Callithrix jacchus: one gene and its partner. The protein of the gene in region 2 interacts with the protein of the main gene of each other region in a pairwise test. Links are inferred from orthologs where the notes say so. Each region holds a gene or a part of one and is shown on either strand. Other genes may lie near its edges. The genes, in order: BRK1 and MRFAP1.

Evidence for each region.
Region 1: the proteins of MRFAP1 (region 2) and BRK1 interact in binary tests that used the Homo sapiens proteins (3 or more experiments, as listed by UniProt). The link is inferred for Callithrix jacchus from reciprocal best matches to the Homo sapiens genes MRFAP1 and BRK1.

Annotation. Positions count from the first base shown.
Region 1 is NC_133516.1:67,286,532-67,291,098, reverse strand, and holds the start of BRK1 (protein BRICK1), read right to left. Parts: upstream 2,937-4,567; 5' UTR 2,916-2,936; coding exon 2,798-2,915; intron 1-2,797. UniProt on the Homo sapiens protein: Involved in regulation of actin and microtubule organization. Part of a WAVE complex that activates the Arp2/3 complex. As component of the WAVE1 complex, required for BDNF-NTRK2 endocytic trafficking and signaling from early endosomes.
Region 2 is NC_133504.1:186,866,997-186,871,081, reverse strand, and holds MRFAP1 (MORF4 family-associated protein 1), read right to left. Parts: upstream 2,577-4,085; 5' UTR 2,534-2,576; exon of another isoform or gene 2,416-2,533; 5' UTR 2,378-2,415; coding exon 1,994-2,377; 3' UTR 1,982-1,993; intron 1,606-1,981; 3' UTR 643-1,605; downstream 1-642.

The DNA of each region.
Region 1 (4,567 bases), on a different chromosome or scaffold from region 2:
GTTTTGCTATCTCATGAGTGGCAGAGATGGTAGGGGAGGCAGGAGAGGTAGGCATAGCATAACTTTTATTGAAAAAAATATGCCTCTGGCCAGGCATGGTGACTCATGCCTATAATCCCAGCACTTTGGGAGGCTAAGTAGGGGTGGATCACTTGAGGCCAGGAGTTCGAGACCAGCATGGCCAACATGGCAAAACCTGTCTCTACTAAAAATACAAATATTAGCCAGGTGTGGTGGTGCACACCTGTAGTTCCAGCTACTTGGGAGGCTGTGGCAAGAAAATCACTTGAACCTGGGAGGTGGAGGTTGCAGTAAGCCAAGATTGTACCACTGCACTTCAGCCTACGTGACAGAGTGAAAATCTGTCTCAAAAAATCTGTCTTATTTACTTGTAATTAATTGTTATTTTCTCTAAATTCACTTTCTAAAATCTTAAAAAACCACCTAGTAATTACTCCAAACATTTGCCCACTATCATCCCTTTAAGGGAGGATAATGATCTAAGCTAAGGGAAATCATTTCTTTTGGAGCCAAAAACTTAGGCTTCTGTATGTCTAATTCCTTAGTTTAGAATTTGTTGGGGGGCCAGGGACAGTGGCTCATACCTGTAATCCCAGTATTTTGGGAGGCCAAGGCGGGCAGATCACTTGAGCTCAGGAGTTTGAGATCAACCTGGACAACATGGCCAAAACCCATCTCTACTTTAAAAAGCAAAAAAATCATCCAGGTATGGTGGTGCACACCTGTAATCCCAGGTACTCAGAAGGTGGAGGCACAAGAATCGCTTTAGTCCAGGAGGAAGAGGTTGCAGTGAGCTGAGATCATGCCACTGTAATCCAGCCTGGGCTAGAGTGAGACCCTATCTTTTAAAAAAAATCCTGTTTTTTTTTTTTTTTTTTAAGAGACGGGGTCTCACTATGTTGCCTAGGCTGGAGTGCAGTGGCTATTCACAGGTGCCATCCCACTACTGATCAGCACAGGATTTTTGACCTGCTCTGTTTCCGACCTGGGCCGGTGGCACCCCTCCTTAGGCAACCTGATAAGTCCCAAAACACATCCACTATAAATTTAATGGGTATGATATACAAGGACTTATGTCAAAGATAAATATAATGAATTAAAACTTTACAAGTGGCCAAGCACAGTGTAATCCCAGCACTTTGGGAGGCCAAGGCGGGTGGATCACCTGAGGTCAGGAGTTCGAAACCGGCCTGGCCAATATGGTGAAACCCTGTCTCTAAAAAAAAAATAAAATAAAATAAAAAAATAAACGTTTACTAGTATAATTCTGTTCTCAGAAATAAAATCACATTACTAGGATCCAAGTCAGAATTTTTTTTTTTTTTTTTTTTTTAACAGGGTCTTACTCTGTTGCCAAGGCCTGGAGTGCAGTGTCAAGAACATGGCTCACTACCTCCAGGGCTTAAGTGATCCTCCTGTCTCAGCCTCCTGAGCAGCTGGGACAATAGGTATGAACTACCATGCCCAACTAATTTTTTTTTTGTTTGTTTGTTTTTTGTTGAGATAGAATCTAGCCATGTTGCCTAGGCTGGTCTTGAACTCCTGGGCTCAAGTAATCCTCCCACCTTGGCCTCCCAAAGTGCTGGGATTACAGGCATGAGCCACTGCACCCAGCCACGGATTACAGTCCTATATATCCTGCATGAAAATACTTTAATACAAAAATGATGCTCTTCTTTGTCCTAAAGTTGTCATTATTTCATCTTCAAGATTATAACTTCTTTGAATGTAGGAAGTGGTTCTTATTCTGTGTCTCCCACAGTGCCTTAAGAGAGGACCTTATATGAAGATCTAGCCTCTCTCAGCTGATGCTTTCTGACAATCTCTTGCTCTGTCACCTTTATACTCCTAAGGCCATCAGTCCTTTAGCTAGAAAATAATTAATTCATTAAAAATATTTCCAAAGTATACTAGTTGAAGAAAAGTTCACTAGATGTGTCCCTATATCCTGTAATTACACAAGAAAATCTAATCAGTGCCAAGTTCTCTTAAATAAACGCTTGGAGAAGAAGGGATAGGAGTCTCGATTACTTTGCTTGCTGTTCAGAGGAAAAATTTAAGACTGTCACAAGCAGGCCATGCCTAGGAAAGATTCTGGTAAAGATGTCTTTCTGCTGAAGGGACCTGATCTGTGTTAGCTCTGAGAACAGGCTAGAAGCAGACAGAACACCTACTATAAGCTATATACCAGCAATACAGAGAGGACTTCCAAGGTTCTACAAGATCCTGGAATCACTCCGACCTCATCTCCTACCCCTCTCAGGGCAGCAGACACAGGAGACAGGAAGGAATGGACAAGAGAGTGGTTGAGGGTGCAACTAAAAGGCATGACGCTAGAGGGTTTCGATTTGATCCTAAAGATGGGAAACCGTCAACAATCTAGAAACAGAGCACTGACACGGTCTCGGGTGCGCACTTTGAATGCAAAGTGGGGACTGGGATGGAAGCAGAGCATAAAGGAGGCAGGGAGACCACTTAGAAGAACCACGGAGAGAGGATGACGCTACCTGACGCGTCCGGGAAAAGGGCTTGTAGAATGGGTCCAGGGGGATGGCAAGAAGCCATGAGCTCAGCGTAGGGCAGGATGACCCTACAGAGACGGTCCAGCGGAGCCTGAGGGTCAGGGAGGAAGGGGGAAGCTGGGACCTGAAGGAGGAAGTGAAAACCCGCAACAGCCGAAGGCTCCGGGAATCCTCTCAAAGCATCTCCCCAGCGCCCCAGCCCAACAGCCTCAGCGGCCTCCCTCCTCCCCGCCTCCCCTTGCCGCCCCGCTGACCGAACGAGTTGAGAAAGTCTGCGATTTTCTTGATGCTGCTGGTGATTATTTCAATGTACTCCCGGTTAGCCCAGTCCTGGTGAATCTCCCTCTGCACCGGATCCTCTTGTCCCGCCATGGCGGCAGCCAGAGGAAAAACGACTGCGCAGGCGCCCCGACCCCATAGGCCTCCAGTGCGCCTGCGCCGCCAGCCCACACCCATCTTCTTGGGCACCCACGAATTCTCCGGCACTGTGATACTCCCGTGCAACGTCACGCCCTCGCCGGCGTTTGCTCTCTGCTCCCACGCTATAGAAACAGAAGCCTCGACTCCAGCGGCGAGATTATAGTGCATGCGCGTTACGGTCGTTAAATGGGCGCGTGGGGTCTCGCCGTCTCCCTCATATGCTCCAGGCTCAGGTTGCACAGTCAGTGTCAGCAGTAATATGGGCACTAAATCACATTAAATACAAGTCTTTTTTTTTTCTTTTTGAGACGGAGCCTTGCTCTGTCACCCAAATTAGAGTGCAGTGGCAATGCAACCTCCGCCTCTAGGTTCAAGTGATTTTCCTGCCTCAGCCTCCCAAGTGCTGGGATTACAAGTGCAGGCCGCCACACCCGCGTAATTTTTTTTTTTTTTTTTGCATTTTTACTAGAGACAGGGTTTCACCATGTTGGTCAGGCTGGTCTCGAACTCCTGGCCTCAAGTAATTTGCCCGCCTTGGCCTCCCAAAGTGCAGTGCTGGGATTACAGGTGTGAGTAACCATGCCCAGCCTAAATACAAGTCATTTTTAAAATGCCTTCCCAGCCAGACGTGGTAGCACACACCTGTGGCCCCAGCTACTCGGGAGGCTGAGACAGGAGGATCACTTGAGCCCAGCAAGTCGAGACTACAGTGAGCTGAGATCGCCCCCCTGCACACCAGCCTGGGCAACGGAGCAACATCCTGTCTCAAAATAAAATACCTAAAAGTAGCCGGGCGCGGTGGCTCACGCCTATAATCCCAGCACTTTGGGAGGCTGAGGCAGGTGGATCACGAGGTCAAGAGATCGAGACCATCCTGGTCAACATTGTGAAAACCCGTCTCTACTAAAAATACAAAAAATTAGCTGGACATGGTGGCGTGTGCCTGTAATCCCAGCTACTCAGGAGGCTGAGACAGGAGAATTGCCTAAACCCAGGAGGTGGAGGTTGCCGTGAGCCGAGATCGCACCATCGCACTCCAGCCTGGGTAACAAGAGCGAAACTCCGTCTCAAAAAAAAATACATAAAAATAAAATAAAATTCCTTCCAATGACACATGATGTCTGCCTCACATTTATCAAATGAATAACTTTTTCTTTAACGACAACAGCCATTAATGGATAGAGTCCAAATTTATATGGTCATAAATAGCTGGGCACACTGCAAACTGGCACAATCCCTTGCAGAAGGAAGTTTGTGTTTTTATGTTGTTTTTTGAGACAAGGTCTTATTGTCATCAAGGCTGGAATGCAATGGCATGATCATGGATCACTGCAGCCTCGAACTCCTGCACTTAAGCTATCCTCCAGCCTCCACCTCCAGTGTAGTTGGGATTACAGGCTCACATCACCATGCCTGGCTAATTTTTGTGTTATTTGTAGAGAGGGTGTTTCACAATGTTGGCTAGGCCAGGCTCGAACTCCAGATCTCAGGTGATCAGCCCACCTAGGCCTCCCAAAGTGCTGGGATTACAGGCATGAGCCACCACACCCGGCCTATTATGAAGTAATTTAAATGCTAACTATGAACACAAGCAATATGAAAAC
Region 2 (4,085 bases):
CGCACTTGTGGAAGAGAAGGAATGCAAAACTGGGAAGAGGGAGGAGATGGGCTGTGTGATGCAGTCCTAACTAAAGCCTCAGCAGACTCCACAAGGAGCTCGGAAGCCATGTCCCTCAAAATGGTCCCAAATTGGGTAAGACAAACAGAGACCTGAGATTTCCAGCCCATTAGTCACTAGATGTAGGTTACTCAGGAGAAAGGGCATTAACTTTGGCTAAAGCAGCTCTCCTCTGAAAAGGCACTGCCCAGAGGGCCAACCAGCTGAAGGGTGTCTTGTCAGCAACACTTGCAGCAGCTGGGGGATAAATGCTTCATTCTGGAAGGAGGGTGGCCCATCACCCCTCACCCTACAATTTTAATCGCTATATTCCCAGTCCAAGGACTAGAAAACAAAGTACTTTGGCTCTCTGAAGGCACAGGCCTGGACTACAGGATTACACGTGGTTACTTCCTACACTAAGAACCAAGTGTGCTTTCCCCTCACCCAGTTCCCAACAGCAGGCAGAGATAACGCTTCCCTTTGATTAGAGCTTGAGAGCCTCAGAAACCTAAGACATTCACACTCCATGTGACAGAACAATCTGGAAGAAAGCAGATTTCATTCTTAAAGGAATAACTTTTCTTAATAACCTTTGAGGTCTTTTGTCTTTTCAAGCAACTGAATACTTTTATTAACATGGTAAGTTTTTTTTTTTTTTTTTTTTTAAACATGGTAGGGTTTTGACCTCAAATATTTGTTAGGTCTGCTACTGAAATGAACTTACAGCTGGACAACGTATGAACCTTTACGACGCCTGTTTCAGTCCAGTTTAGGGTCCAATGCAGACGTTCCACACTCCCATCCCCCAGCCCCTCAAGGGCCTTTGCAAATCTTTCATTTTATGCCAAGTCCCCTAACACGCATCAGGGTATTACATCAACTTGTACAGAATATCAAGATCTCATCCTGTATTTTAGGTTCCATGTCAAATAAAGCTGAGATAGGTTACATCAGATAGTGTACCACACAAAACTGAAATTTTGAACAAAATACATCTCTCCTCCTTTGGTCTCACACAGAAATTAAAGTCTCCAAATACAGACAATACTATCCGTTCTCCAGCTCTTCTCCAGTCCCAGCCAGGTCGGCCCATCTGCACTCCCCGTCGAAGTCTGGTCCTTTCCTCAGCAGCTGCTGCATGGAGTCGTCTTCCACTCCTTCAGCACCTCCAGAGCTGGAGAACTCCAACTGTGAGTCTCATGCGCCACACACAGACCCAAAGTTCCAGGGAGCTATCAGGTCACACAAGAAAGAGCAAAGCACCTCAAAAATTTAGAAATAACCAAAGCCCGGGAACAAATGTGACTGCAAGAGCTTACAATCTAGGCCCTAATTCCTGCATGTGAGAGCATTTTCCAAACAAAATTACTTCCCAAACGAAAACACTGAACAATCAAAACTCATATTGAGGTCATTAACCACAGACCATAGCAGAAAACGTAGTGTTAAGTGAGACAGAGCGTAGACAGAGGAAAAAAGGGAAAACAAAAGGCTCTCTGGTTTCAGCTTCTCCGGGGTGTCAGCCAATCTCCACCAGTTGACCAGAATCCATTGGCTGCAAACCTAAAAGCACAATGGGAAGAAATTCATCATCGAGAGGTTAATCCCGGGCACAGCGACCCCCAACCCTCACCAACGCCCCCGTGCACGACGCCGCCTCTCCGAAAACCCTCTAACTCCGCCCCGCCCCTTGCCGGACCGTCCGTTTTCGTTTCCTTGGCGACTCTGAGATTGACGACCCTCCCCTTGAACACGCATCACGCCCAAACCCCGCCACTCTGATTATCCCACGCCGCCACCGGCAGAAAACCAGACACGCAGACGCGGCCGGCCCCGCCCTGCCCCGCGCGCGCCGTTACTCCCCCGCCCACCCCGGACCCCGGGGCCTCCGGGAACCGTCGCCCTCCGCTCCGCGGCCCCGCGCGGGTGCCCGACTCACCGCCGGCCGCGCTCACGACGACTCGCTCTTCTCTATCCGCCGGACCAGCTCCACCAGCATCTCTGCCATCTTCGCGATCTCCTTGGCCTTCTCCTCCGCCTTCTCGCACCTCCGGGCCGCCCGGGCCTCGGCCGCGTCGCCCGGGCTCTGGAGGTGGTTGAGGGCGCTCTCCTCCGAGGCCTCCACCTGCGTCTTGATCTGGATGAGCATATTGTCCATCTCCCACAGCTTGCTGCGGTTCCGCAGGTGCGCCCGCCCGTGCTCGCGCGTCAGCGACGCGATGTCCTCGCGCATCTCGTTGATGACCGGCAGCAGGAACTGCTCGAAATCCTCCTCGGGCTCCAGCACCTCCACCTCCTCCGGTTCCGCCAGCTCGACGATGTCCAGGGGCCGCATCTCCTCCCGCTGCCTCGGAACCCAAGTCGCGATGTCTGCTGGAGAGAGAAAACCGACACTCGCTATGCTTAGCCACAGAAAGCCCGAATATCACTGGAAACTTTTATACCCCTTTTCAACTTTTCTCCTCGGAGAAGCCACGGAGAAGCGACTTACGAGCAGAATAGCGGCGAACAAAATGGAGTCCCGGCCGTCAACCAGCGCTCTGCGCGTTGCGGCTCCTTTCACGACACAGCCGAGCCTCTTTACGGTCAGGCGGCGAGTTGCGGGCGCGCGCACGTCGAGAAAGGGCGGTGCCCGGGGAGCCGTCACGGCCGCACGGACGCGCACTCTGGCACCCGCGAGCAGGAGCGCGCACGGTCTCGCTCATCCCGGTGTTCCCGTTACCTCCGTGCGTCACCCTGGTTCTACCCTGTTTTTGGAAGGTGGCTTCTTCCGGGTGTTCCCCTCCTAGAGGGCGTTTCGGGCCCGCGAGTTTGCAGTTTTAGAAAAGGCTTCCCACAGTTGCCGGGCGTGGTGTCTCTCACACCTGTTGGGACTCCGAGGCAGGTGGATCTCTTGAGGTCAGGAGTTCCAGGCCAGCCTGGCCAACATGGCGAGACCCCGTCTCTCCTAAAAATATAAAAATTGGCCGGGCGTGGTGTTGCACGCCTGTAATCCCAGCTACTTGGGAGGCTGAGGTTGCAGTGAGCCCAGATCGCGCTGGTGCGCTCCATCGTGTGTAACAGAGCGAGACTCTGTCTCAATACAAATACATAAAATAGAAAATAAAATATAAATAAAAATTAAAAACGGCTTTCCCCACCGGAAGAGAAGGGGCCTACGTGATAATGCGGCAACCCCAGGTTGTCCCTTAGAGCCCCTTCCCCTCAAGCAGGACGACCTAAGCCCCCTCAGCCGTTTTGTTGACTTGCTATTATTTTAAAAGATTTTTTTTGAGGAAGGGTCTCGCTCTGTCGCCCAGGCTGGAGTGCAGTGGCGGGATCATGGCTCGCTGCAGCCGTCAACTCCTGGCCTCCAGTGACCCTTCCACTCCCGGCCTCCCAAAGTGCAGGGATTACAGGCATGAGCAGTCGTGCCTGGCCCTCTCTGCCTTTTTAAAGAGTAGTTTTCCTCTTTCCTTGGATGACAGAAGGGCCTGGGTGTCTCTTCACCAAGCCGACCTCCCCACATCCCAAGGTGGAGCCTGGCTGCTCCGTCGTGAGGCCCCAGCTGACCCAAGTCCAGTGTCCACAGCCTCTGCGCCTTCCACTGGATCCAGGGCTCTTGCGGGTCTAACGCCCGGGCCGAGCTTGGCACATAGTGGTAATTTTGCCTTAACAGCCACTCAACACAGAATGAGGAGAGAGACGCCAATTTCCTAGCTTGTTGTCCCATTCCCAAACACCAATCTACTTGTCAGAAACCCAGTTCGCATAAGTGCCATCTATTTTCCAGTTAAAGGGACACATCACAGTTTTGAATATAGCAGAATTAAGGATTCAGAGAAACGAAAGTATATGCTTTGTTTAGACTTTTCTCAGGTTCTTAATATTTTGGTTGTCCTTACGAAAACCCAACTTCTGGGCTTACTTACGTCAAAGGAAAATAAGTTTTGGGATCCTAAAATCACTAAGCCAAAGGGTAAAGTCAAGCTGGGAACTGCTGAGGGCCAACCTGCCCCCCGATCTATTCCTGAAAGAGATGGCTACTAAGATTAAAAAGCTGC